3 linked regions of the Struthio camelus genome follow. Each later gene encodes a partner of the first gene's protein in a complex. Links are inferred from orthologs where the notes say so. Each region holds a gene or a part of one and is shown in the gene's direction. Other genes may lie near its edges.

Region 1 (7,855 bases):
TGATTTTAAAAAAAAAAAAAAAGTCAGTATTTTGGAGAAGACCTAATTTAATGTGAGCAGATCTAAGCTTCCTTTCTTCCCCCTCAAATTGTCTTCTAGCTTAGTCAATGTGTAATGGCAGTGCCCAGTTTTCTGTCTAACACCTGCTGTCTCCATTTAAAAAATTGATTTATCATTCTCTGGTGAATGAGACGTACTACATCTCAAAATTTGGAGAAAATCCCAGCCTTACTGATGCCACATGCCTTAATTATAAGCATCTAACTTCACTATCTACATGGGAAATCTAAGCTTTTTTTAATATAATCAATGGGAAGGCTTATCTACCTCTCTGAACACTTAAGAACCTGCTTCTCTCCTTTATGAGCAAACTAAATTAGATGCCTGAAGTAGGATGTCATGAACCTTCTGAGGATTTGTGAATAAAGTCTGTATAATAATGTTTCCTTAGGGAGCTGGACGTTTAGTTTGATATGCACAAAATTCAGACCAGATCCAAATTAGATAGTCATCTGTGTTATTTCAGATGCCTCTGTGGCACATAAATTATTCCTTCCACTCATACTTGAAGCCTGAGAAAAATCTCACCGAATTCAGTAGAAAGAATCTTGCTGGATGCTGATGTAGTTTGAATTGTGCCCTTAATACAGTTAAACATAGTACAACTTAAAGAATTTGCAGCACTTCCTTATACTACTACATAAGTAATTTTCCCATTAATTATTTTGGTTTGTGGATTATATTTTAAATTGTATTTTAGTTAATTTTCTGCGCTTGAGAGGTGTCTCAAAGAGTTCCAATTTATGTAGCTTTATCTGGAGTGGCCCTTGGAAGTACAGAAATCTCAGTCATGTCCGCTCTGGGCCTTGATGTGCCTCTCCAGTATGCCCAGGTGCCAGGGAAACAGTTTATGCAGAATGATTTCTCTGCTGAAGTTCGAAGGGTAGTTCTTGTGGAGATGGAAAAGTCTGTATAGCAATTAGTCTGGAATCACCTTCTCTCCCTCACTGTCCGTGGTGACTGAAATGTGAGTACTGTATATGACAAACCACTGAAATAGCACTTGGTTTGAAAATTTGTCTGCCCCAGTAACTCCTTATTAGGGAGATTTTTTGGGTTTTTTATGCATATCCAGATCTTTGCAGTGTGACAATTTGCACTCAGAGTGACTCAGCTCTGTTAATCTGGTCATTATAGCTTCCATGAGGTTGAAAATACATATTGTTAAATACATGCACATCTGTTTCATACCTCAAATATATTATGCCTTGATCAGTAAAGTGTCTGGAAGGATAGGTCATTAATTTGTGTGTGTTTCACAACTTCATGAAGTGGAATATATTGTGGTAAAATACCAATTGTTTTGCCAAAAAAGGTAAGTATTGCAGGATGAGCAAAATTTCTCTTCCAGTATATTTTCCTTTTGGAAGGACACAGTATGAACTGCATTTGCTGACACTGTTACTAGTAATATGAAAAAGACACTGGCTCCACCTAATCTTCATTCTGATGAATGCAGTCTGCTAACTTTATTAGGAAATCTATAATTAGTTTTTCTTGTGGGCTTAGTTTCTGTAGAGTGTGTGTGTGTAAGACAGCAATTGTTTCTGTCCAACCTTCCTATATCTTGGATATGGAAACTTCCTTATTCTTAGGAACTGATCTTTGTTAATGCTAATGATAGTTCCCGATACTGCTGTAGATTCTAATTGCACAAGCTCCTCCGTACAGCTGGACCGCCCACTTTAAAAGTCTAGATGGAAGATAGTGTTTTTGTGCACGTGTCTGAGAAGTTTTATTTAGAAGTCCAGAGAATAAAAACTTTCAGGTGAATTTATTACTTGTTAGATGTGGCAGATTGGACTTAATTCTTCAGGATTCTTTCTCTTGTTGAACAGATAGAGCAGGGCAAGGTTTGCGATACTCCAGTCCACTTTTAACATTTCATGCTAAAAGCTGCCAATGCATGACAAGCTTAGTCTCTGAGTTAGGGTTGGGAGTGTGCTCCACATCAGTTGGTCTGACCTATGGGGGAGGGGGACAAGGGGGCTTTAAAAGTTCTCTTGTCTCTCACTAAGCTGTGCCTAGTTACTGCTCCTGTTTTTGTGATCCTTCATGTCTGTTCTAATGCAGTTTTCCAGTGGGAACAAGACTGAAATCTCCCTAATGCATTTATTTCAGTTTGGTCATCCCAGAGATGCAGGAGGTCAACCTATTTCAGTTGCTGTTGACCTGTTGAGAATTGAAGCTGGAAGCCTGGGTGTATAGGAGTGACCTAGCAAAGATGTACATATGCTGTAACTGTTGAGATTTTTCCCTAACAGCAGTATGTGGGCTGTGGGAAATTAGTAAGTAGGTTTTGTACAGATGACCAACCTCAATGCTTTCCGTATGTGGTGGATTTCCCCCCTCTTTGACTTTTGAAGTACTGGGCTTACAAAAGCGTTTGTAGAAAGTGGTCCTCTCTCAAAGTAGCTTTACTATACTTGCACCGAACACAATTTTAGCTTTTTTAAACAGGTTTGAGATAGTAAGTCATACAGGTCTTCTGGGTTAAAGACTTAACCATGATTTTAACTTCATTGTTTTGCTGAAAGCATTGTTTTATACTGTATTATTAAAAACCTTTTGCTTATAAAAGGTTAGAAATATGTTTCCTTGTATATTGTCAGTGTCTCAAAGTATCAGCTGTTACATTAAGTATTAGTTAAGTTAGGCATTAAGTCATAGTATTATGTTTCTCTGAAAACTGATGCAAAATGGAAAACTAACATACTGGTTGCTTCTGTAATTATTTTTTCACTTTCAAAGCACTGCATGCATTTTAATATCTTGTATCTCTACATGAAAATCTGTTTCTGATCCTAACTCAAATGTTGCAGTTTGTGTACATGGAAAAAATTATTGTACATTACAGAAAATATCACAAGTTACTTTCAGTGCAAGTTTCAGTTGTATACAAGTTACATCAGGCAGAGGTAAATGAGTAATGATACTTGCATGTCCTTATACTCTTTGAAAGGGACAATCCTTTTGTTTTCTGTCACGATGTTAGCAATTTATGAGGTGACATGATGCAGATAGTTTACAGCAAATGTCAACGTTAACACATTCTATGGTTAATGACTTATGCTTTGAAGCTTGAAACTCAATGTAAATGGTTGTTTTGCAAGCCACGGGTATTTCTTAAATATGCATTCTGAAGTAATTATTTTAAAATAAATAAAAGTGGTTGTCATTTTAAAACCACTCTAAAATACTGGCTTGAATGCAGAAGCCTGTAATGATGAATTAAAAGATGTACTGCCTTCAGTTTTTGAAGGCAGCTGGCAGAGATGCCAACCAATTTCAGTAACCATGTCATTATGTACCAATAATAGCACCATGGCATTATGTCAGAATAAATACCAGAATATCATCAGATATGTTAGTCCAGTCAGACAAACACAAAGGTAAAAGCCCTAACAGAAAATATTAGTTACAATTATCTTCCCTAACTGTATTTAGGGACCTCAAAGCCATTACGTGACTGATACATTGCCTGATTATCATGCCCTGAAATTGCTTGTAGAAGCAAACAGAAATTGTAATAGTTAATGCAAGTGATTAAGCCTTTTGATGCATTATTTTGTTACTGTTTTGTTTTTCCTATGATGTTGATTTCAAATCAGTATTACAGTGAAGAGGTAACCCGGTAATTTAAGTGTATCAATATGGAGTTACTGTAGTTCTGTATTTTTGTGCCTGAAAACTACAATGAAATGTTAGTTATTCTGTTAAGTACTTGGTACATATGGCAGGAAAGACGGTCCTACGTTGATTTCTCCTCTTTAAGATCAGTTTTGAAAGGGTAGTGCTGTAGTTGTGTTACTTGGACCTAAAGCAGCATCAGAAGGAAGCAATATCTATTCCATCAACCAGCTGATGATGCATTTGTGTGGGGGGAAACAGTGACAAGCTCTGAGTGTGCACATTCCTTCCATCAGGCCTGATAGAAAGCATCACCTCTTCCTCACACCCTGCTTCTGATCTAGTTTTCCTATTTTGAACAAGAGCAGGTGGGCAAACAGAACTTTAAGAGAGCAAAAAGCATAGATACATTGGAGACATTCAGCTGTGTAGCCGTACTACCCCATCTCTCTTTAAAGCAAAGATAATGGACGAATGAGGTAAGAACGGGGGAACGGACACCCCCCCCCCCCCCCATTGCTTTGTACATGTAAGGAAAGGGAGGAGGGGAGAGAGCACAGCTGGAGCATGGTGTACGTTTAACCCCTTCTCCGAGGGGCCTTCTCCCCTCCCTGTACAGGGAAAGGGCTGGGGCTTGGGGGAGCAGCCTCAGGCTCGGTCCCCAGCCCCGGTGAGCCGAGGCCCGGCCAGCCGCGGCCCCGCTCCTCTCCCCACGCCTCAGGGCCGCGCCCGGCTCAACCTCTTCGCCCTCCCGTCGCCTTGGGCCCCGCTCTCGGGGCTTCCCCCCGCGCCCCGGCACAAGCGCAGCGGCGCTGCGACCGCCTCGGGGCCTTCCCGCGGCGGCGGAGGCCCTAGACAAAGAGCCCGGGGCGGCCCAGCCTGCTGCCCCATCATGGCCGCCCGCCTCTGAGGACGCGCCCTCCCGCCGCACGCACCACCGCCTCCGTCCCGCCCCCGGCCTCCTCTCATTGGTCAGACACCATGAGCGTATGTGTCGCTCGCGCCTCTATTGGCAGGGCGGGCTAACATGCCCGGGAGCAAACCAATAATTATCGAGAGTTCAAATTCGTGACAGCTGAGACGGGCAAGGCAATTGGCTTGCCCGAGGGGCGCGTCCCGCCCGCCGGGACCGCAGCTGCTCGGAGCAGGCGTTTAAAGATGGCGGCGGAGGCGGCGGCGGCGGCGCGAAGTGGGAGGCGGTTTCCGTGAAGCGGCCGCGCCAGCGCTTCCCCCACCCCCATCCCCAAGCCGGGCCCGGGCAGGAGGAGCGGCGGGGACCCCGGGAATGGCCCAGGTGGGTGCCGGCCCGGCGGGCTGCGCCGCCGCGGAGGGCGGGCACGAGCGGGGCCTGCGCGGCCCAATCGCCGCCGCGCGGGCAGTAACCCCTGCGTCCCCGCGGGCCGGGGCGCCGCGAGCAGCCCTTGCTCGAGCCGCCGAGACAAAGTCGGCGCCAGCCCCTGCCCTGAGCGGGCACGGCGGCTCTGCCGGCGGGCTGCCCGCCCGCCGCTCCTCCCCCGCCCCTTCCCTGGCGGCCGGCGCTTCCCTCGCGCTCTTTCTTTCTCTGCCGCCTCCCTGGAGCTGCGTTCAGGCTGGTGGGAGGAAAGGAAGCGCCATGTCTCTCTGTCCTCCCCGCACATCTCTCCTGTCGCTGGTGGGGAGTGTTAACCTGGCCAGGCTTTCTACCATCTCGTGTTAGGGTGCAGGGCGGCGGGGGTGGAAGGGTTTCTCCTGTGCACCTCTCTGCGCGCAGGGCGGGGGGGCCCCGCAGGGGTGAAGACTCTCATCTATCCTCCCATGCGAAGTTGTGAAGAAAACGCAGCCGCCGTCCCCACCACGTGTGTGCACACCCGTTCCCTTTTTTTGGTCCTTCTTGCAGATTGGGGTGGTGAAGAGAAAGTTGCGTGTCTTCCTAGCCCTCGGGATTCTTCTTCACGTGCTCTTTTTATTCATGGCGAAGTATAGTATGTTTTTTTCTAAATTGCCTAATTCAGTCTCTGAAAGGTTTAGGTTCCTAAACTTTCTTATTTTTCACTGGAAAAATAAAGGTCTTTCCTTTGCACCTCTTTGTCCTTAGCGTGGATTAATGAAAGAGGGTTTTCTTTTGATACAATTTCAGAGTAATGACTCTTTCACAGTAGATTCTCAGTTGTCTTCTCTTTAGTAATCCTTTTCGGACACTTCCAAAGGGAAGTCTTATTTTAGTGGAGATTCAAGGAAAAAAGGGAATTCTTCTAATTCTTCTTCAACTCCTTTCCTTTTTTTTTTTTTTTTTAATTCGTGATGGGTAGGAGAGGAAGGATGTTACTCGCATTTGATTATGCTTCCTTTCTGAATGAAGAGAGAGCCTGAATCTGCCAGCTATATTTCTACACCTAGTTTTCGATACAATGGCCGTTCCATTGACACTAGGTGTATTTGCAGCATCTTTTTGCTGCTGAGAGGGTGGACTTCCTAAAATCAGCTAAGAGACAGTTAATGCTTTCCTTCTGAAGGTGGGATTGAGAGCTTGCTGAGTGAGCTCATTCATTCTCATTGCTCCATTAGGTAGAGACCTTAGAGTTAGTTCTTTAACTTTTCTTTCATGAATATTTCTCTTCTCCCTTCTGTTTAGGTAACTTAAGCATTCTTTAATTCTGGGTGAAAATTAGCTCGCTAGTTCTCCGTGTAGTTTTTTTGATTGCTAGGATTACTTTGCTTTTTGGGAGAGCGAGAGGGGAATTTAGTCCGTTATGTCTGTTGTTTTTCTTCATAAGTAAGAAGCCAGTTGTTAGGTGAATGGAAGCACGCGTTTTTTTTCCTTTCTAGCCTCTGAATTGCATTTTTTCCCCTAAAACTGTTTCCTGTTTCACGCTGTTAATTGAAACCATCTAAGCCCTATCAGAAAATTGGTCAAGCTGTAAGTGCAGCAATTGCTTTGCCATTTACAGAGGTACCTTTCCCACATCGCGTACTCTGGTGCTTCAGAAATGAGACGTAACTATGCTGGATGCAGCCTTATGAACGAGAATTCTTTAGCCTTGTCTACGTTTGCTCTAGATAAAGTTATGATTGGGCCTCTGACTGGCTTTTCTGAAACTGCCTTGATGGCTTCCACAAAATGGTTGCTTTCTTCACAGTCTTTCTGTGCTAATGCTGATTAATATGGAGAGAAATAAGCTTTTGTATGTAGTAGCAACTTATGGAACATGTTTGTTTGGAACTTCCTGTTCTGTTTTTATGGAAAGAAAGGATTCAGTCTCCTTATTGTTTTGTTTTTTGTTTAGTTGGGTTTTATTCTAACACTTCATACTTAATAAGAGCAAATTTATTCTTAGGACTTTGAAGAAGTCCCCCCTGTGAGTGCGGGATTGCTTTGACAGGGATCAGGATTGAGTGGATTTTTAAGCAAGATCAGTGCATCATAACTTCTGCTCTGCAGAATTAGCCTTTGGAGCCAGAGGATGAGAGAGAGGACTTTATATTTGGATAGCAAAAATAAGGAGAGTTTGCTCAGAGCTACTCTTTCTTTTGGGGTCCACTGACTGTGAAGTTAACAGTTTCTGGCAAGAAGCTAGATTTTTTTTTTTTTTTTGAAACTGTTTTCAGAAGACAGAATCCATGATATGTTGTTCCTTGTTGCTGATTGCAGCTACAGGTAGTCATGTTGAAAATCTGTTCTGCATTGACCTCACTTCAAAGACTACTGAAATGCTATTATGTGAAGAGAGCTCCTCTTTGAGCCTGGGCAGTGCTGGTTACAAATTTTAAGATTCTGTATTTGTGTTTTCATCAAAAGAGATACCCTTTTGTCTGTGCACTTTTTTTTTTCTCGATCCATCTGTTTAGACGGGGAGAATAGGCATTGGTACTTGCTAAACAGAGAAAAAGCTATTTTGCTTTTCTTTCTCTCTTCCAAAAATGTAGATTTATAAGATAACTGAGCCAAGAGGAGGAGCTTCAGTATACTGCTTTTATTGGGGATCTACTCCATTTGCTACATTACGTTTGGATGTCCGCTGTGTATCTAATTCTTTGAGTTTACTTTTACTTTGTGATATGAGACCTTTTCAAATGATGTGCTAAAATGTGGACTTTCTGTGTACTGGTGGTATCTGCAGGATATCAGCTGTGCCTTCATATTTTCTCCAGTTAATCCGGAGTTCCTTCAGTGTTTGTACAACTGGCT
Region 2 (7,907 bases), on another chromosome or scaffold:
CTGAATGTGTAGAACTGCAATATGCACCATAATATTTTCAAAATGACGGGTAGCTACAAAATATGACAGACAGGACTGAGTCCCAAAAATAGGTTCAAAATCAGAATTATATAAATCATTTAAAGAGCTTCTTTATCACATTTTAGGGCAATACAAACAGATATTCCACTCTAGGTAGTTACAGATCATGGCACTCCCTTTTCCGCTCTGCAAACATAGCTAAAACTGAAATCTACTGTAAAATCTAAGCATTGCAAATTGGTAATTAAAACTTAAAGAATATTATGTAAACCTAGTATTTTTACAGTGTAATCTAGAAATATTCCAGGAAAATCAAGTTTCCGCAACAAGCTTAAACAACAACAAAAGTAGGTAAGGATTTTGTAAGCAGTTGCTACTAATAGTAAGGACCGCCTTTCTAGAAAGATTCTAAGATTTTGTCTAACTCTGGACAAAAAGCCTAGAAAGAGATCAGTACTCCCTCGACTGCAGTACCTCTTGACTAAATTTTATTTTTCCTAAGAAAGAACAATTTACTATTAACTTTTGTTTGCTTGTGACTAGAACACTGACAGGCTAAAGTCAAAGTCATGCACTGAAAATGCCGTAACATTAACATCTAATGGTACCTAAAATACATCAACTTGCTTCATATGACAAGTTTCTCTCCTATCCAGAGGATCATTTCTGTAATAGCCATTAGCACAACACACATAGTAACTAGTGATGTTCAGATCTTGATGTCAACTGTGTATCACGTACTTTGTGGCAGAACCATCATCATCTTGAATGCACAATCAGATGTCTGCGCACTGCCCAAATACCAGAGTTAACTACTGAGGACCTGGAGATGGAGTGCAGTGTTGGAGTAACAAGAAACCGCTCATAGCATATCCTTATTATGCTCCCCCTGCTTCTCCTCATGCATTGTAATGATGCAAGTTCAATAAATCTCAACGAAATAGATGAGCCTCGTATAGAAGAAACACAGGCTCTGGAGGGACTTACAACTAGCTTTCTAAATGCATGCCAGACATGACCATAATGAAATGTTTACAGCTTTACTGGGGAAAATTCAAGGGGTAATATGCAGGAGATGAAAATACTTGTAAAGTTTCCACCAACACACACTGTACAGTCACATGACAAATACACTTGATAGGTTGTTATACAGTGGGAATCTATATAAATAGCTGATCTTCCACACTGACTGTTTTTAAAGTAGTTTTGCCAAAATATGACCTCTCAAAAGCTCAATAAGATGATGTTTATACTGCAACACTATAATCTCTCATTTTACATAATATATATGCACACACACACACACACAGCCAAAAACAAAATGTCACAAGTAATATTGTTTTATTATGACTGCAAATACAGAGTACTGCGTGCATTAATTTGGACATCTGCGATTTTTAAAAATGCATGAAAACAACACACGTTAACAAATTACTATTTCAAGAAAAAACACCATGCTTCTAGATGATTAATACAGACATCTAATAATTGCAGTCCGCCCAGATGGGTGAAAGTCTTCTAGTTTTGTCCAAGAAGCTGCATCTTTTAAAAACAAACCATTTAGTCACCAAAACACTTATGAGTCTCATGAAAAACAACAACAGAGTAAGTTGTGTTAAAACCTCACAGGAAAACATCTTAAATTTCTGTTCCAAAAAAAACCCCCAAACTCCCAAATTAGCAAGCTGTTCCACAGCTCAGCGTTTCTCCAAGAGTGATGTCAGTTTCTTGCTTTAAATCTGTGTAGCATTGAAACTCTGACAACAACCAGCAAAAACTTTCACCTACTTTCAGTAGCAAACAGTCCCACTTCAGTCAACACTGTGTTAGACACTCAAAGGATCCAAACTTCCAGAACTTGATTTTTTTTTTTTTGGCTTTTGAGCTACAACTTAAGAGATAGCCTCAAGAAAAGGCACAGTCTGGTTTCTGGCCCAAGCCTAGCCTAATAGAGTGTTAGGCTATACTACAAATCAGGACTAAGCTAAATGGGTTCATATCCGCATAAACAAACAAAGTGAAGCTCTGCCCAGTCTAGCTTTTTACCACAGATATTTCATTCTCCCTGGCTGTGCTGGAGTTTCATACTTTTAAGAAAATTCAAATCTAACTCAAAGGACAGAAAACAAGACAGAAATAATAACATAAAGAATAGGTTCCACAGCAAAAAAAGTCTTCTGAAGAAATGCATTAACATTAGCAAATAATTTTTTCTCCAGCATCCGGGGTGTATCATGTAAAGCATTCATTTTTATTTCCTATTTCGACCCTTACAAGGCATTTTTTCCTCATTGAGGCTATAAAATGTTTTGCAAACCAGAGAACGTGTAGTCCAAATAGTTCATCTTAGTTTAAAACGTTCCATGCTGCAAATGCTCAGTCAATTATTTAAACAATTCTAACTTTTAATTAGATACTTCCAGGATTAGGTAGTATTTGCACAAAAAACATCTGCAAAGAGGTTCAGCTCCTCTTTTAAATGAACACAACATATGAGTGCTTTAAAAAACTATTTAAGTCGAGTACAAAACTGAGTCAAGAAATTCTGAGAGTTTAAGATACCACAATAAACTTACTTTACAAACTGTGCACACATTTACAAACACTGCAAACATAACAGCAGGCTGGTAAGTATTTGATTACTGTTTATGCAGAGCACTACATTTTTGGTTCTACAAAACTTTTATAACAGATTTCTATCCAAAGCAGTCAGAAGCCCCTAGCGATTTAGGAGTCCCCTGATCCAACTGTACAGACATGTATAAACTGTATAAACAATTCAACGTCATCGCCAAAGAACTTATAACCAAACATAAAGAGACAATAGGTGACTTGCAAGCACACTCCTGAGGAAATTTAAAAAAAAAAAAAAACTTGAGACAATATTTAACATGCTAGGTAGTGGTCTCAGCAAATTTGCAAGAAAGTCCTTTCTAGGCTTCAGAGTAAAAGTGAGTTTTAAAAAGGGAGAAGAAGGTAGCAACAGCCTTGATGACGTTTAAGAGAAGGTCCATCAAAGCATTAGATGAAGCACTGCTAATGCAGTCAACCTAATTTTTATGTAAAGATCTCAGGATATATTCTCATGTTTCAAATCATTCAGTTGAATTTTGCTGTAATGAAAAGAACTACACTTCTTCCCACGCTGTTCACAATCTACTGCTCCCCAAAGCCTCCACCGCACTAGTTATCATGAGACTAAAGGATAAGTTCGAGGTCTGATGTGATGGGGAAACAGGTAACATTTCTTTTCCATCACCTCCCTTTCCAAGAACAGCACTGTATCCAGTAGAAATGAGAAACCAGGCTCTTACCACTTCATAATGACTGAACTTTCACTACACTACACCTTATTGCAACAATCAACATTTCAAAAAAATAAAAGCCGACAGGCCTCAGAGAATATTATGAGACTTCCAGAGACTGTAACAACAGCCTCCTTCTCTTTTAACAATATCTTTTTTATCCTAGATATTTTTCAAAAAGAATACTTTGAGTTGTCAATAATATTAAAATGACTTGAAATTTTTCTTGTAATCATCAAAGAGCTAGATATTACCTCATATTAAGTATGAGCAAAACAGTTAACCAAAACCAATTTTCTGAGAACATTTTCAGAACTGGTTTAGAAGCCCTGACTCAAACAGTCCACGGACACGTAACAAAAGTTAGTCTGACTTCAGAAGCTTCCGACACAAACTCCTTACAAGAATAACAATGCCCAGCTACTCTCCTGTTCTTCAACCATATGCTGAGGCTTCCCTGTACCTGCAGCGGAGAGACCTGCATAAATTTTGATACATTTAAGTAATTTTACATTCGATTTTGAATAAACATTATTTCATGCTGTGATTTTCAGTGAAGGTTAACATCCACTCGTGTTTTCCTTAGAAATCTTTTTTAAGTTAGAAGAGCACCTACAAAAGCATAGCCACAGTTGAAACGGGACAGCATTGATACCTCGTGGTAGATTTTGCATCTAATTCCTGCTATTCTTCCGTAGCAACCAACGAGTAGTTTGGTGAAGCTGTCTTACCTCTGAAAAATTAACTGCCAGAGGGATAATCCCTGCCACATAACAGGCAACCAGCATGGCCAGAGACAGCAGGCAGATGGAGTGGAAATCATCCATTTCGCTGCTTTCTGTCCAGTCCCTTAAAGTGAAATTCAACAGCAACTTTTCCACCTCGCCCCGCACGCCTTAACCCGTGCAGACACCGAGGTCCCAGGAAAGGCCTTCAGCCATGTCTGTCCTGCCCGGCGGCGCCGGTCGGCTCAGCCCCCAGCAGCGGCCCCCTCCGGGCCAGGGGTGCAGCAGCCCCGGCTCTGCCCGCCGCGGCCGACGACGGCCGGGGAGAAGGGGCGGCCCAGCCCGGGCCGGGGCGGGCGCAGCCCTCCCCTGAGGCGGCTGGACCCTGCCCTGCGCCCCGGGGTGGGGGGACCGCCGGGCCCTGACGCTGCTCGGCACAGCGGGCCGGGGCCGCGGGGAAGGGAAGGGGAAGGGCCGGGCCGGGAGGGAACCGGAGGCCGCACCAGTCCGCGGGCTCCCTGCGCCCACCAGACCCCGCCGCCACCTCGGAGGCCAACTGCCACCTCCACGACACAGCACTTCCTCTTCCGGGGCGCACCCGTCGCATCACCCCGCGCGCTTCCCGCCTTCAAGATGGCGGGCGAGGCAGCGGCCGCCCTGCCGCCCGCGCGAGCCGAGGCGGGAAAGCGCGCGGCTCCCTCACCAAAGATGGCGGCGCGGCGTAGCTCTCCCTCAGCTATTCCCACAAGCCCCCCCCCTCCCCCCCACTTCCCGCCCAGCATGGCGTGGGCGGTCGTTCCCGGCATGCTCCGCGCCCTGCCGTGTGGCAGCGCGCTCTCGCGCGCCGTGCGCGTGCGCGGCAGTCTAGCACCTCGTCGTCTATGGTCGGCCGTTAGCGAGGCGTTTCCGGCCGGCGCGGGGGCTTGTGGGGGAATTGTCGGGCGCCTCTTAGTCGGCGGCGGAGCTGCGGAGCGGGAGCCGCTATGGTGAGCGGGCCCCGGTCGGCCGCGCCGCCACCCCCCCCCACCCCCCTTCCCCGCTACCTCCCGGCCTGGGGGCGGCGGCGCGGGCCCTCCCGGGCTGGCAGCGGCGGGCAGGCCGCGGCGGGGGCGGGCGGGTGGCAGCACGTGCTCGCGGCGGGCCCCGGGGCGGGCGCGGGCCGCGGCTGCGGCGCGCACAAAGGGCGGGCGGGCCGCGGCCCTTGGGGAAGCGCCGCTCGGCCCAGGCGGGCGGGGCGGCGGCGGCCTCGGGGGCCTGAGCTGCTGCTGCTGCCGCCCCGCTGCCGCTCGGCGCGGCGGAGCGGAGCGGGGGGTGGGGGGGCAGCTCGTGCTGGCGGGCTGCGGGACCGGCCCGCTGGTCGTAGCAGCTTGTCGCATTCATGTAGTAAACGTGGGTTTTGCTCAAGCAAGACGTTGCGCTTTGGTGGAAAAAGCGCTGTGGGGTTTAGGGCAAAAGTCTTGTGGCCGCCTGTGTAGCGCTTGGGCAGGTAGTTAGTTCCTGCTAGGACAAGCAGCTACAAGCCCTGTCCTGTTGTCGAAAGTGAAAAGATGGAAGCCACTTAAACCGCTATTTCTGGCCAGCAGGAATACCCGAAAGTCCTTTGAGCGCTTGTGGCATATTGCCTGTCTTTACTTTACTATGCCTGTTTATTTGTCCTTCACACTGTTTGCATCTCTTCCCTTTCCATTTTTTGCCTTATTGTTGAATAGCCCCGACAGTTGCGAGAAGCGCCTTTGGACAGATGTTGACTAACTCCTATGCCCTGTTTTTGCCTGTCAGTGCTGCCTTAAGTGTTTTTTCAGGGTTATGTCTTCAATAATGTGCTTAAAGCACGTTCCGAAGAGCTCTCAAGACGTTTAAAATTCATATAACGTAAACCAGTGTGGTATCTACTCTGCTGTCTCCTTGAACAGCAGACAGTTCGATTACACTTTAAAGGAAAGCACAAGAAAACCCACAGTCTGCAACAGGACAGTAAGAGTTCTTATTGGGCTGTTCCTGATAACCTAGTCTGATTAAACAAGGGTTTCTGCATCATCCACCACCACTTTTCTTTTTCCTAACAACAGGATTTATACCCATAGGAAACTTGGATTTGGCCTCTGTCGCCTAAGCATGTATTCAGTAGGGCAGCTAATAGTTTGAGGAAACTTCTCTTGTACTTCTAAGTTTGTCATTCTTTGGCCCTCCTGTGGAGGGAGAGGAGGAGCAATTTCATAAAATCATTCAAAAAGTTTTTTTTCTTTAGAGTAAAAATGTGGGAAGTTCTTAAATTTGAGATATATATTTTGATTTTTTTTATCCTTTTCCTCCTTAAGGTTTTTAGGGGAAGATGAGAAATTAATAGCTAGTTTAGGGGAAGATGAGAAATTAATAGCTAGTAGAGGAAGAAACAAAAGTCAGTAGTAACAGGATCAAAAAATACTGGCAATAATTTAGGCTCATTTCTTGATGGGTGTAGTAGAATTATTATTAGTGGCTTGCAGAAACTAGTCTTCATTATGTATTGCTGTTTTGCACTTAGAAAAGCTGAAAGATATGCCTTTTTAGAGCATGAATAATAATTCCCCAGGCCAGTGTCTGATATGGATATTGAAAAATGTCTTAAGTGATGAATCACTTAAAATCAGAGACTTAGATGCCTGGCAATCTCATTATTGGGATAACGTTAGAACATACATGCACGATGGTTTAACGTTTAAAGAATAGGAGGGATAGCCTGGGTATTTATACACCAGACAGCCTACAATTGTTCTCCACCAAGAGACAGAATACATAATTCAGTCAGTTATTATATCATTTTTTAATGTTAATCAGTTCTCTTTTATCTGTGCTCTTTTAGGTTTTGTGAAATAATCCCAACCTGTTCTTTAATTTTGAGCCTGGTTGAAAAAGATAAATATGTATAACTCTACCTGAATCAAACATCTCATAAGTTTAGTTTGCAAGACATTCTGATGCTAAAATAGTACAACTGTTTTAGAGCAAGTTTCCTAAGCTGCCTGAAGCACTTCCTTTATTACTGTTAATAGAGAATCCTTAGTGCTCAGATGCTCCCAAGAAGTTAAAGTTACAAGTCTTAGAACCAAGCCTTGTCACCAGTGATCAGCAAACAAATGCGATATTGCTGGTAATAGAACTTGATCAAAGTTTGGCAGAATGATTTAGACTCCCTAGTACGACAAGCCTGTTAAGTACAGCAGGCTTTGGAACCGCCAGATACCAGCCCCCCCCCCCCCCTTGAGGAATTCCATTCAAATTAAGTGTCCTGTGACCTACATGAAAGTGGACTTAGCTGGTCTAGTTGTCTTTGCATGATTTTTATTCTAGTGCATAGCTCTGAATTCTCCTTTTGTTCTGTTTCTAATTGGGGAAAAGTCTTGATCTTTTCTGTTCCTTTGTGTCACTTTTTTCTGGTCTCCTTTCCATCTCTTTCTATCATGATATTTGAGACAGCATTTCAAGAACTGAAAACTAATTCCCAGCATGGGAATACTATCAATCGTGGTGTAGAAATCTTTACTGCCTTCCTATATGTTCTTTGCAAATCCTAATAACTTTTTTGCCATTTTTCTGCATCTGAGTACTGAACTGGAATCTTAACTGTCCTGTCCAAATCATGGGTCAGGAGTTTTCTCTCAGCAGTTAATTAATTTAAACCCAACAATATGTTTTAGTAATTATATTTCCAGTGTGGCTTACTCTGCAGTTGCCAGCGTGAATGTTATGTGCTGTGTGCTCACCTCACTTATTAGCATTGAAAATGTTGGATTCAGTTGACACTAATGGAATGGTGTTGTCTAACGTGCTTACAAAATTTCTGTGATCTATAACTCTTAATTAGGTCAGGGACATG
Region 3 (7,523 bases), on another chromosome or scaffold:
GATTTTGACTTTAATGAATAGAAATAATTTAAGACTTGCCTAGATTGAATGAGAATATCTAGGACTTTAAGGCACAATACTATCCAACAACAGTATCCAAGTTATCCAAGAATACAAAATTAATCCCATGAAAAGCTACATAGCTAGCTTTCATATTACTAGCGTATGGTAGTAGGCAGTTTACCTGATTGTAGTTGTTGATATGTCTTTCCCAATTAAAAAATCGTGTTTTCCTTCTGAGATCTGCTGAGCCCAAGGTGGGTGAAGCCATATTACTTGAGAAATATGGCCAGCGTAAACTGCAGGCATAATCCAGTTCTCAATACTTAATTCACTGGAATGAATGAAGAAAGACTGGAGGTTACACTGTTAGCTCCCCTGTAAGTAAAACACGGTCAAGAGCACTACAAGTATCTTCCATATCTTGAAAGTACACACACAAATCATCTGAAGTAAGAACACTGTGCACAGGTCACATGATCAAAAAAGTAGGAGGGAAAGCTTAATTCATAAGAAGAACCCAAAACGTCTGTAGCAGAACGAAAAAAAAAGGATTATAGGTCAGGGTCAGCTTCACTCTTAGTAGGCTTCTTTGACTATAAACGACATGGATTTGTTGCCCTTTCTCTCTTGATGTATCAGACAGAGGAAAAGTGCAAAGATCATGATCAACACTATTTTAGACAGCTCTGAATTGACCTCAGAGTATTTTGCTGTCAAGTACTCTAAACAGGTTTTAAATATCATCTCAGTGCTGAAAAGCAATCAATCAGCACCTACAGAATAAAAATCGATCCTTACTATCAATATGCTATCTCTTTAAGCGCACAAAACGGCTCCCAAAGTTTCTTATTTATCCAACAAAAAAAGTAAGATATTGACTATTGATAGAATGACACAGCTACTTACGTACTAATTACATCATCCTTTGATTGCTGTGAATCACCATTCCATACTGAAGTAGTCAAGAGTCATTTTAAAATGGGAAGAGAAAGACAATAAAGGTCACTCTGTGCCTTGTTACCTTCTTCAGAAGTTGGGGTAAAATATTGGTCCTCATGATATTAATGAGAAAATCTTGTTCAACTTCACACATTCAGCATGTCACCACAGATGATGCTATTGCAACCTCAAAGCAGATTTTTCAGACTGAGGACAGAAAGGCTGTTCTAAACCTACAGCTCTTCAGATCAAAAGGATCAGCACTTAGGAGTACTGTCCTGTTATCCAGAGAAATAACCTGGCCTAATAACACGACATACTACTAAACAACTAAAAGTAAATTCGCAAGTCTCAGGTTTTCTTGATATGCAACATAAATATTTGACCACACTCATAAAGCACACACATAACTTCCTCCCCACAAAAAAACCAAAGTGTTCAGCAAAAGTGAAAGGATGGAAGACACAACTTGGGGCTGCTTTACACCTGCTGTATGAAAAGTTAAACGAATACGGACTGTAAATCAAAGGTAGCAAGAAGTGGACTTCAGGTATTCTGATGCAGTACACAGGACTTTACCTAAAAAGAGCTTCTTTGTCAAATACGGTGTCTGCTGGCATATTTACGGGAATAAGGAGGTCTGGATGGGAGTCAAGATGAACAAAGCTGATGTTACTGGCAGGAAGGTGCTTTGAACCAATGGCGCGATAGATGAAAGGCAGAACCTAAAACAATACGAACAAAAATATTTCAGTTATAACCAGCAAGCTGAAAAACGCAATGACGTTAATAGCAAAAATACCAGCCCCTCTCCTCTTTGCTTCTTTTGAATTTGGATTATTTCTTGGGAGAAGGAGAAGGAGACTGAAAACAAAGGGATACCACTCCAACAGCAAGACAGCCGAAGAACCGTGAATCACTATGAACCCAAGAGTTTCATACATGGCCAGTTGCTGCAGAATCATAGCTTTACTCTTTCTTTTCTTCCTTATAGGAAGTCTTGTTTGTAGTAGCTCTTCTGATTAATAATTTAATACACTGCCTAGTTTTTTTCTTTTCAACTGATCCCCAGAAATGCCGTCTCTCTTCCGCTGAAGATTACCCCCTACACTTCCTTTTCCATGCTATAAAGCTTAGCCACAACCTATGCATGGGGCTGCGGAGATACAAACTTCTGAAGCCCCACTAACAAAATGTTAACTGATACAGGGTGAAAACTGACCCGGCTACCATTTAAGCTTTAGCTGATCTTTAAACCTATTCCTCTGGAGAAAAAGTTTAATTCCCAATCCCTGCAGGACTTAGCGGCTGCAATGAAAAGACTACCTTCCCCAGCTGCCCACTTAAAAGTGAGAAAAGCAGATGGGTAGATGTGTCAATTTACGGCATAACAAAGCACTGATGTGCAATACTGTCAAGTGGGATGAGACAACTGAAGGCTAATTCACGATCCTTCTTACACTGAGCTGCAGTAGACGGAGCTTCTCCCACAGTTACAGGCCGGTAACTGCCTTAGCTGCCAGAACAAATCTAGCAAGAATTGTGAACCAGATCGCTACTATACAGGGAGCATGAAAACTATAAAAAGACTGGGCAATATAAGCTACACGGGATCTCTGTATTTAAATGCAAACTGAGCTACTTTTTAAGCATAAAACTGATTAAGATCACAAATCCTGAATAGTGAGTGTACATAACCATAAAATCTGACACTTAGTTGAAATTTGGATTGTATTTCACCAGACCGGCTATAAATTCTCAGTTTTCCCACTACTTATGCAATGATATATATCCTACTGTAATAATAGATAAAAATAAGGTTGAAAATAACAGTGATTCTCTGATCTATGATTTCCAGTTCTTCACAAAAGGCAAATGGCCTACCTGTACAACCTACAATGTTGACAGGTGAAATTAGTTTAATCTCATGGAAGTGTTAGCGCAAATTCTGAAAACAGAGCAGGATGAGGGAGGAGACAAAAGCCTAGAGTCCCTTACATTGCAAGTTCTGCTGCTTTGGGTTGAGAACAAAATTCCCTTCCCGCTAGCTGTTATTATTAATCAAAGCATGGTGCCTCTAGTGTCATCTACCCCCAGAGAAACTTCAACGTCAGTAATTCATCTGGACTATACATAGTTTCTGGGAAGTTCTTACGCTTTGAGGTAAAAGCCTATACACGTTTTATATAAGACAGATCAATGTATATACATACATATATTGAAAGTACAGCATATATATTTGGTAGGAAGAGTCTTTGTTAACCTAATTCAAAAGAGAAGTACTGAAAGCAAAATAAAGAAGAATTATTAACAGACATTATCTCAGTACTTCTATTACAGTGACACTCTTAGTCCGTGGTTACTGCAGAAAACCAGCCACCACAGCATCAACCATTTCAGCGAGTCTTGGCAAAAATAATCCTCATTAAATTATCTACTTTCAAGTTCAGAATAACGTTTCCCTTAATAAACTGTATCACGCTAGTGCTTTTGCAAAACAGCAATAGAGTTAATGCTTTTCATTTTTTTCTCCACCAGTTCTTTATGCCCCAGAAATGCTTGCTGAAATTAGTGGGCTTTTGTGCCTTTGGGTAAAGAATTTGCTTACTTTGGATTACAGCCTCAACTTGTGCTATAATAAAGAAACTCTCTGAGAAACCAGAAACAGCACTTCAAAAGCAATCCTTTGCAAAGGATTGCCTTTTTAAACTAGCTATCATTAAAAACAAGCAAACAAATAATATAAAGCACCAAATTTGACATCTCTCAGCTACTGACAGTCAATGTGCTGGTTAGAGTGTGCCTCATACGTTGCGTAGGCCTGAGTTTCTAAGCAGTACGCTAGGACCTAGCTAATTCCAGAAGCAGTAAAACGTGGGTGTTATTTTCTTTTAAACACAGAAACCATGGGGGAAAAAAAAAAAAAAAGAGAAAGAGAGTGAAATAACTACTTAAAACCCCACCAGCCTGCCCTAATGGCACCAGCTACATGCATCACTGGATCACGACGGGGCTCCACATCATCTGGACACTGAACTTCACTCGTGTGCCACTAGCCAGACCGGCCCGAGGAGGCTGGTTTTCGCGCCCCCAGGGCAGCGGGCACGGCTGGAAGAAGAAACCGAGAAAGACAGAAAAGGGTTTGTTTTTTTTTTTAACCCCCCCAAATACCCACGGCCCAGAGAAAGGCCGCGACCCGCCTCTCCCCTGCCGCTACTACCCGAGGGGCGGCCGGGCCGGGCCGGGCCGGGACCCCGGCGGGGGGGATGGTGGTGGGGCCCCGGGAGGCGGCTGCACCCGCTGAAGTGACGGGCCTGGGGCTGGGCCGGGCGCGCCGCGCACTCACTCACATCCTGGTGGTCCTCCACCACCCACACCGGCAGCACCGGGTAGGCCCTCCGGCCGGCCCCGGCGGGGCGCTCCCCGGGCGGGCGGCCCCCACCGCTCATGTCACGGCGGCCCGGCTCCCTCCGGGTGGCGGCGGCGGCTTCCGCCCGCGGCGCCCCGCCCCGCGCCTTCCTCTTCCGGAGCCGGCGCGGGCGGCGGCGGCGGCGGCGGCGGGGCAGCAGGTGGGCTGCGCGGGTGCGTGCCCCTCCCGGGCCGGGGCGAAGCAGCGCATCGACCGCCGCCGTGGCGACGTGGCCCCGCGGGCCGTTGTGATGGCGCAGCCCCGCTGGCCGAGGGGCGGCCGGGGCGCCGCGCGGGGCTCGGCGGCGGCTGGCGGTCGTTGCCGCTGCGGTGATCGCCGGCCGTGCGTAAACCTGCCCTTCCCGCGCGGGCGAAACTGGCGCCGTTTGAGGGCAGGCGGCGGGCGGTGCCGGCCCGGGCCGCCCTGAGGGCAGGGCCCCGTCGCGCCGGCCCTGCGCCGGGGCGGGTGTCCGCGCGTGTCCGTGTCCGTGTGGCGCAACGGGTTTCTCTTTGTGGGTGGAAGGAAGGGCATGACTCGTCATCGGTTTTTTCCCACTGAAGTTCAAAGCGAACCTGAACGCGGTGAAAAATTGCAGCAGCGGGAGCTTTAAAATAACCTGAAATAATTTTTTTTTTTTTTTTTTTGCCTTCCCTGCTGCCTTTGGCTCTGCGTTTCGGTGCGTTCTGAAGTGCTTGAACTGTGATCGCAGAAACCAGAGGAAACCTCTGAAGGTGCAGATAAGCTCGGAGAGAGCTGGTAAAGGAGACCTTTTGTTTGAATGCACTGGCACGTGTTAAGAAGAAACGTGCCTTACGTTAAGGCACCAGTACAGTACAGTACAGTGGGTTTCCCTTTACTTCATTCAAGGGGATAAAAGATTGGCTCAGCCTGTTTAAATAAAATTTGTATGTAAATGTCAGCAAAGCACAAAACAGTGTACTGGCAGAAGCCTGCGCTAGGTGAGTTATAACTGCTGACCTGAGGAAAAATGGTCCAGCGTTTAATGGACTAGAATTAAGGATGACAGAAAGTAGCGCTGCTGCCAGACAAACTCGTGAAGGTGTGGAGTAGATTTTTTTTTCCCTGTCATTTCTTTTTGAGACCCTTTAAAAGACCTGAGGGTACTGAACAGACCGGGGTTGCCTGGAAGGAATCAGTCAGTGGCTTTACATGTCTGCTACCTCCTAGAAACGTGTTGATCCGCCCTTATCCTGCTGGCCTTTGTTGTCCACTTGCTCAAACGAGGGAGGAAATGCCCCACCACCACTTCCAGTGGCTTCAACCAAGCCCTGAGCATGGGACGGGAGACTTGGGGTCCTCCTGGTACCTCTTCCTCAATGTGCATCCTTTCCCCCTGTTTCATTTCTTTTCCGTTTTTTCCCTTCGGTTCACTAGCAGAAGTCTGGCATCAGTCAGCAAGCTTCATCCTTTGCAGCGCTGGGACCAGAATGCAGCCAAAAGTAGTACTCTGAGCAGCCCACGTTTGCCGGGTTACAGGGTAGCAGGTGGGAGACTATTCCCTATGTGTACTTCTGCATCGGTAAAGCCACTGTAAAAAGGAGGCTTTGTTTTCTGTGTCTGGTGATCTTTCCGCATACGTGTTTATGTGTCTCTCTCTTATAGAGAACAGGATTTGACATTTGCAGCTGCAGGATCAACTGTTTTTTTCCCCCTCTCTCCCTCCCTTCCACCCAACATATCATTGTTGATGTTTTATTTTAAATATTTTTTCCTTTTTCCCAGTTTTTGAATTTTGAACATTTTAATGAAAAACTAATTTTAACTTCAATATGCCACAGCAGTTTTCATTTTTAAACTTTAATACCGTAGTACATTACATACAACACATGCTTTTGAGCAAGACTTCAGCCCGCTTAGAGCAGTGCCTATTGCCAGCAAGGTAACACGGCCAATTAGGTACTTCAGGAATTTTGAAAATGTTTGTTTATTGAAATTGGAACAAACCACAGTCCACGTACGTTTTTGTGGGTCACAGTAAATTTTTATGTACCTAACTTTAAAATATCTGTTGAATTCAGTCCTGTACGAAATTGGGACTTAACTGTGAATATAAATTCCCATTATCTTGTTTAAGATTTATGTGATTTTTTTTCACTGGACCAGGCAACTCACGATGGCATGTTAGTAAAGTTGTTCTACCTGAAGTTTAGAATAGTGTTCTAGGAAGAACTCCTTGATGTAAGACCTTGGATGACTCCTACCTTTGTTAAAATGAGCGATCTCTTTGGTGTGGGTGTCTGAAGACTTTATATTAAAGCATCCATGACCATGAGGGTATGGTCCCACCTGGATTCTGGATTAGAGGCAGGAGAGTGCATTAGTGGATTAGAGACTTAGGGGAATCTTGGGGGAATAATGACCTGTACTACAGCACTGAGGAGCACAAAGCTCACAATGAAAGCCAGTGGTCGTCATCTGCTGCTCCTATTAAAAGAAACTGCAGAAATCATAATTTAAGCACTTTGTGCATTTCCTGGAACTACTTCCAAAGAACCTCATAGAAAAACTTTGTGACACTGTACATTTATTTATTTTCTTCTTTAAAGGTGAGCCATGTCTTTCCATTCCGGACGAGGGTGTCCCCGCGGCCAGGGGGGACCAGGAGCACGAACTTCAACACAGACCTACCGACCTCAGAACCTACGGCAGCTTCACCCACAGCAGCCCTCTGTGCAATACCAGTATGACCAGCAAACGGCCCCTCCGACAACCTATTCAAACCCTCCAGCCACTGGTTACATGCCTCCCAGGCCAGACTTTGTGCCGTATCCTCCTCCAGTGCCCCCTTCCACACAGAGTCCCATCAGCCAGTGTCCCATGAGGCCACCTTTTCCAAACCATCAGATGAGGCAGGGTTTCCCAGTGCCTCCGTGCTTCCCTCCCGCTCCTCCACCAGTGCCAAATCCTAGCAATACTCCTGTGCCAGGAACTCCGACGGGGCAAAACACATTTCCTTACATGATGCCGCCCCCGACAGTACCGCATCCTCCCCCACCCCCAGTCATACCGCAGCAAGTCAACTACCAGCCTGTTTACTCCGCAGGGTATTCACAGCAGTCATTCCCCCCTCCGAACTTCAATAGCTATCAGCACAATTCCAGCTCTTTCCAGAGCAGCGCTACCAACAGCAGTGGCGGCAACAGCCATTTTC

Evidence for each region. The genes of interacting proteins can lie anywhere in the genome.
Region 2: the proteins of DGCR8 (region 1) and ERH are in contact, whole or in part, in a crystal structure (PDB 7CNC), measured with the Homo sapiens proteins. The link is inferred for Struthio camelus from reciprocal best matches to the Homo sapiens genes DGCR8 and ERH. Residues at the interface, in NP_073557.3 of Homo sapiens: Lys107, Phe108, Ser109, Pro110, Asp111, Leu112, Leu114, Leu115; in NP_004441.1 of Homo sapiens: Val8, Pro10, Thr11, Thr18, Tyr19, Ala20, Glu27, Lys34, Met35, His39, Arg42, Met43, Phe60, Leu64.
Region 3: the proteins of DGCR8 (region 1) and DROSHA are in contact, whole or in part, in a crystal structure (PDB 5B16), measured with the Homo sapiens proteins. The link is inferred for Struthio camelus from reciprocal best matches to the Homo sapiens genes DGCR8 and DROSHA. Residues at the interface, in NP_073557.3 of Homo sapiens: Asn728, Ile731, Leu732, Lys734, Leu735, Gln736, Glu738, Met739, Lys740, Leu742, Ala743, Arg746, Arg750; in NP_001369437.1 of Homo sapiens: Leu984, Leu987, Phe988, Thr998, Tyr999, Thr1001, Ala1002, Ile1003, Gln1005, His1008, Phe1069, Asp1073, Leu1074, Glu1076, Val1077, Trp1078, Asn1080, Pro1082.

What each region holds. Positions count from the first base shown.
Region 1 is NC_090958.1:11,505,716-11,513,570, forward strand, and holds the start of DGCR8 (microprocessor complex subunit DGCR8), read left to right. Parts: upstream 1-4,808; 5' UTR 4,809-4,984; intron 4,985-7,855.
Region 2 is NC_090946.1:45,491,235-45,499,141, forward strand, and holds the start of ERH (enhancer of rudimentary homolog), read left to right. Parts: upstream 1-4,839; 5' UTR 4,840-5,034; coding exon 5,035-5,037; intron 5,038-7,907. Other genes in the region: SLC39A9 (zinc transporter ZIP9), read right to left, coding at 4,058-4,175, 4,555-4,658. UniProt on the Homo sapiens protein: May have a role in the cell cycle.
Region 3 is NC_090943.1:91,265,891-91,273,413, reverse strand, and holds the start of DROSHA (ribonuclease 3), read left to right. Parts: upstream 1-4,455; 5' UTR 4,456-4,511; exon of another isoform or gene 4,512-4,524; intron 4,525-5,744; exon of another isoform or gene 5,745-5,856; intron 5,857-6,918; 5' UTR 6,919-6,925; coding exon 6,926-7,523. Other genes in the region: C2H5orf22 (UPF0489 protein C5orf22 homolog), read right to left, coding at 185-334, 1,522-1,667, 4,293-4,391. UniProt on the Homo sapiens protein: Ribonuclease III double-stranded (ds) RNA-specific endoribonuclease that is involved in the initial step of microRNA (miRNA) biogenesis.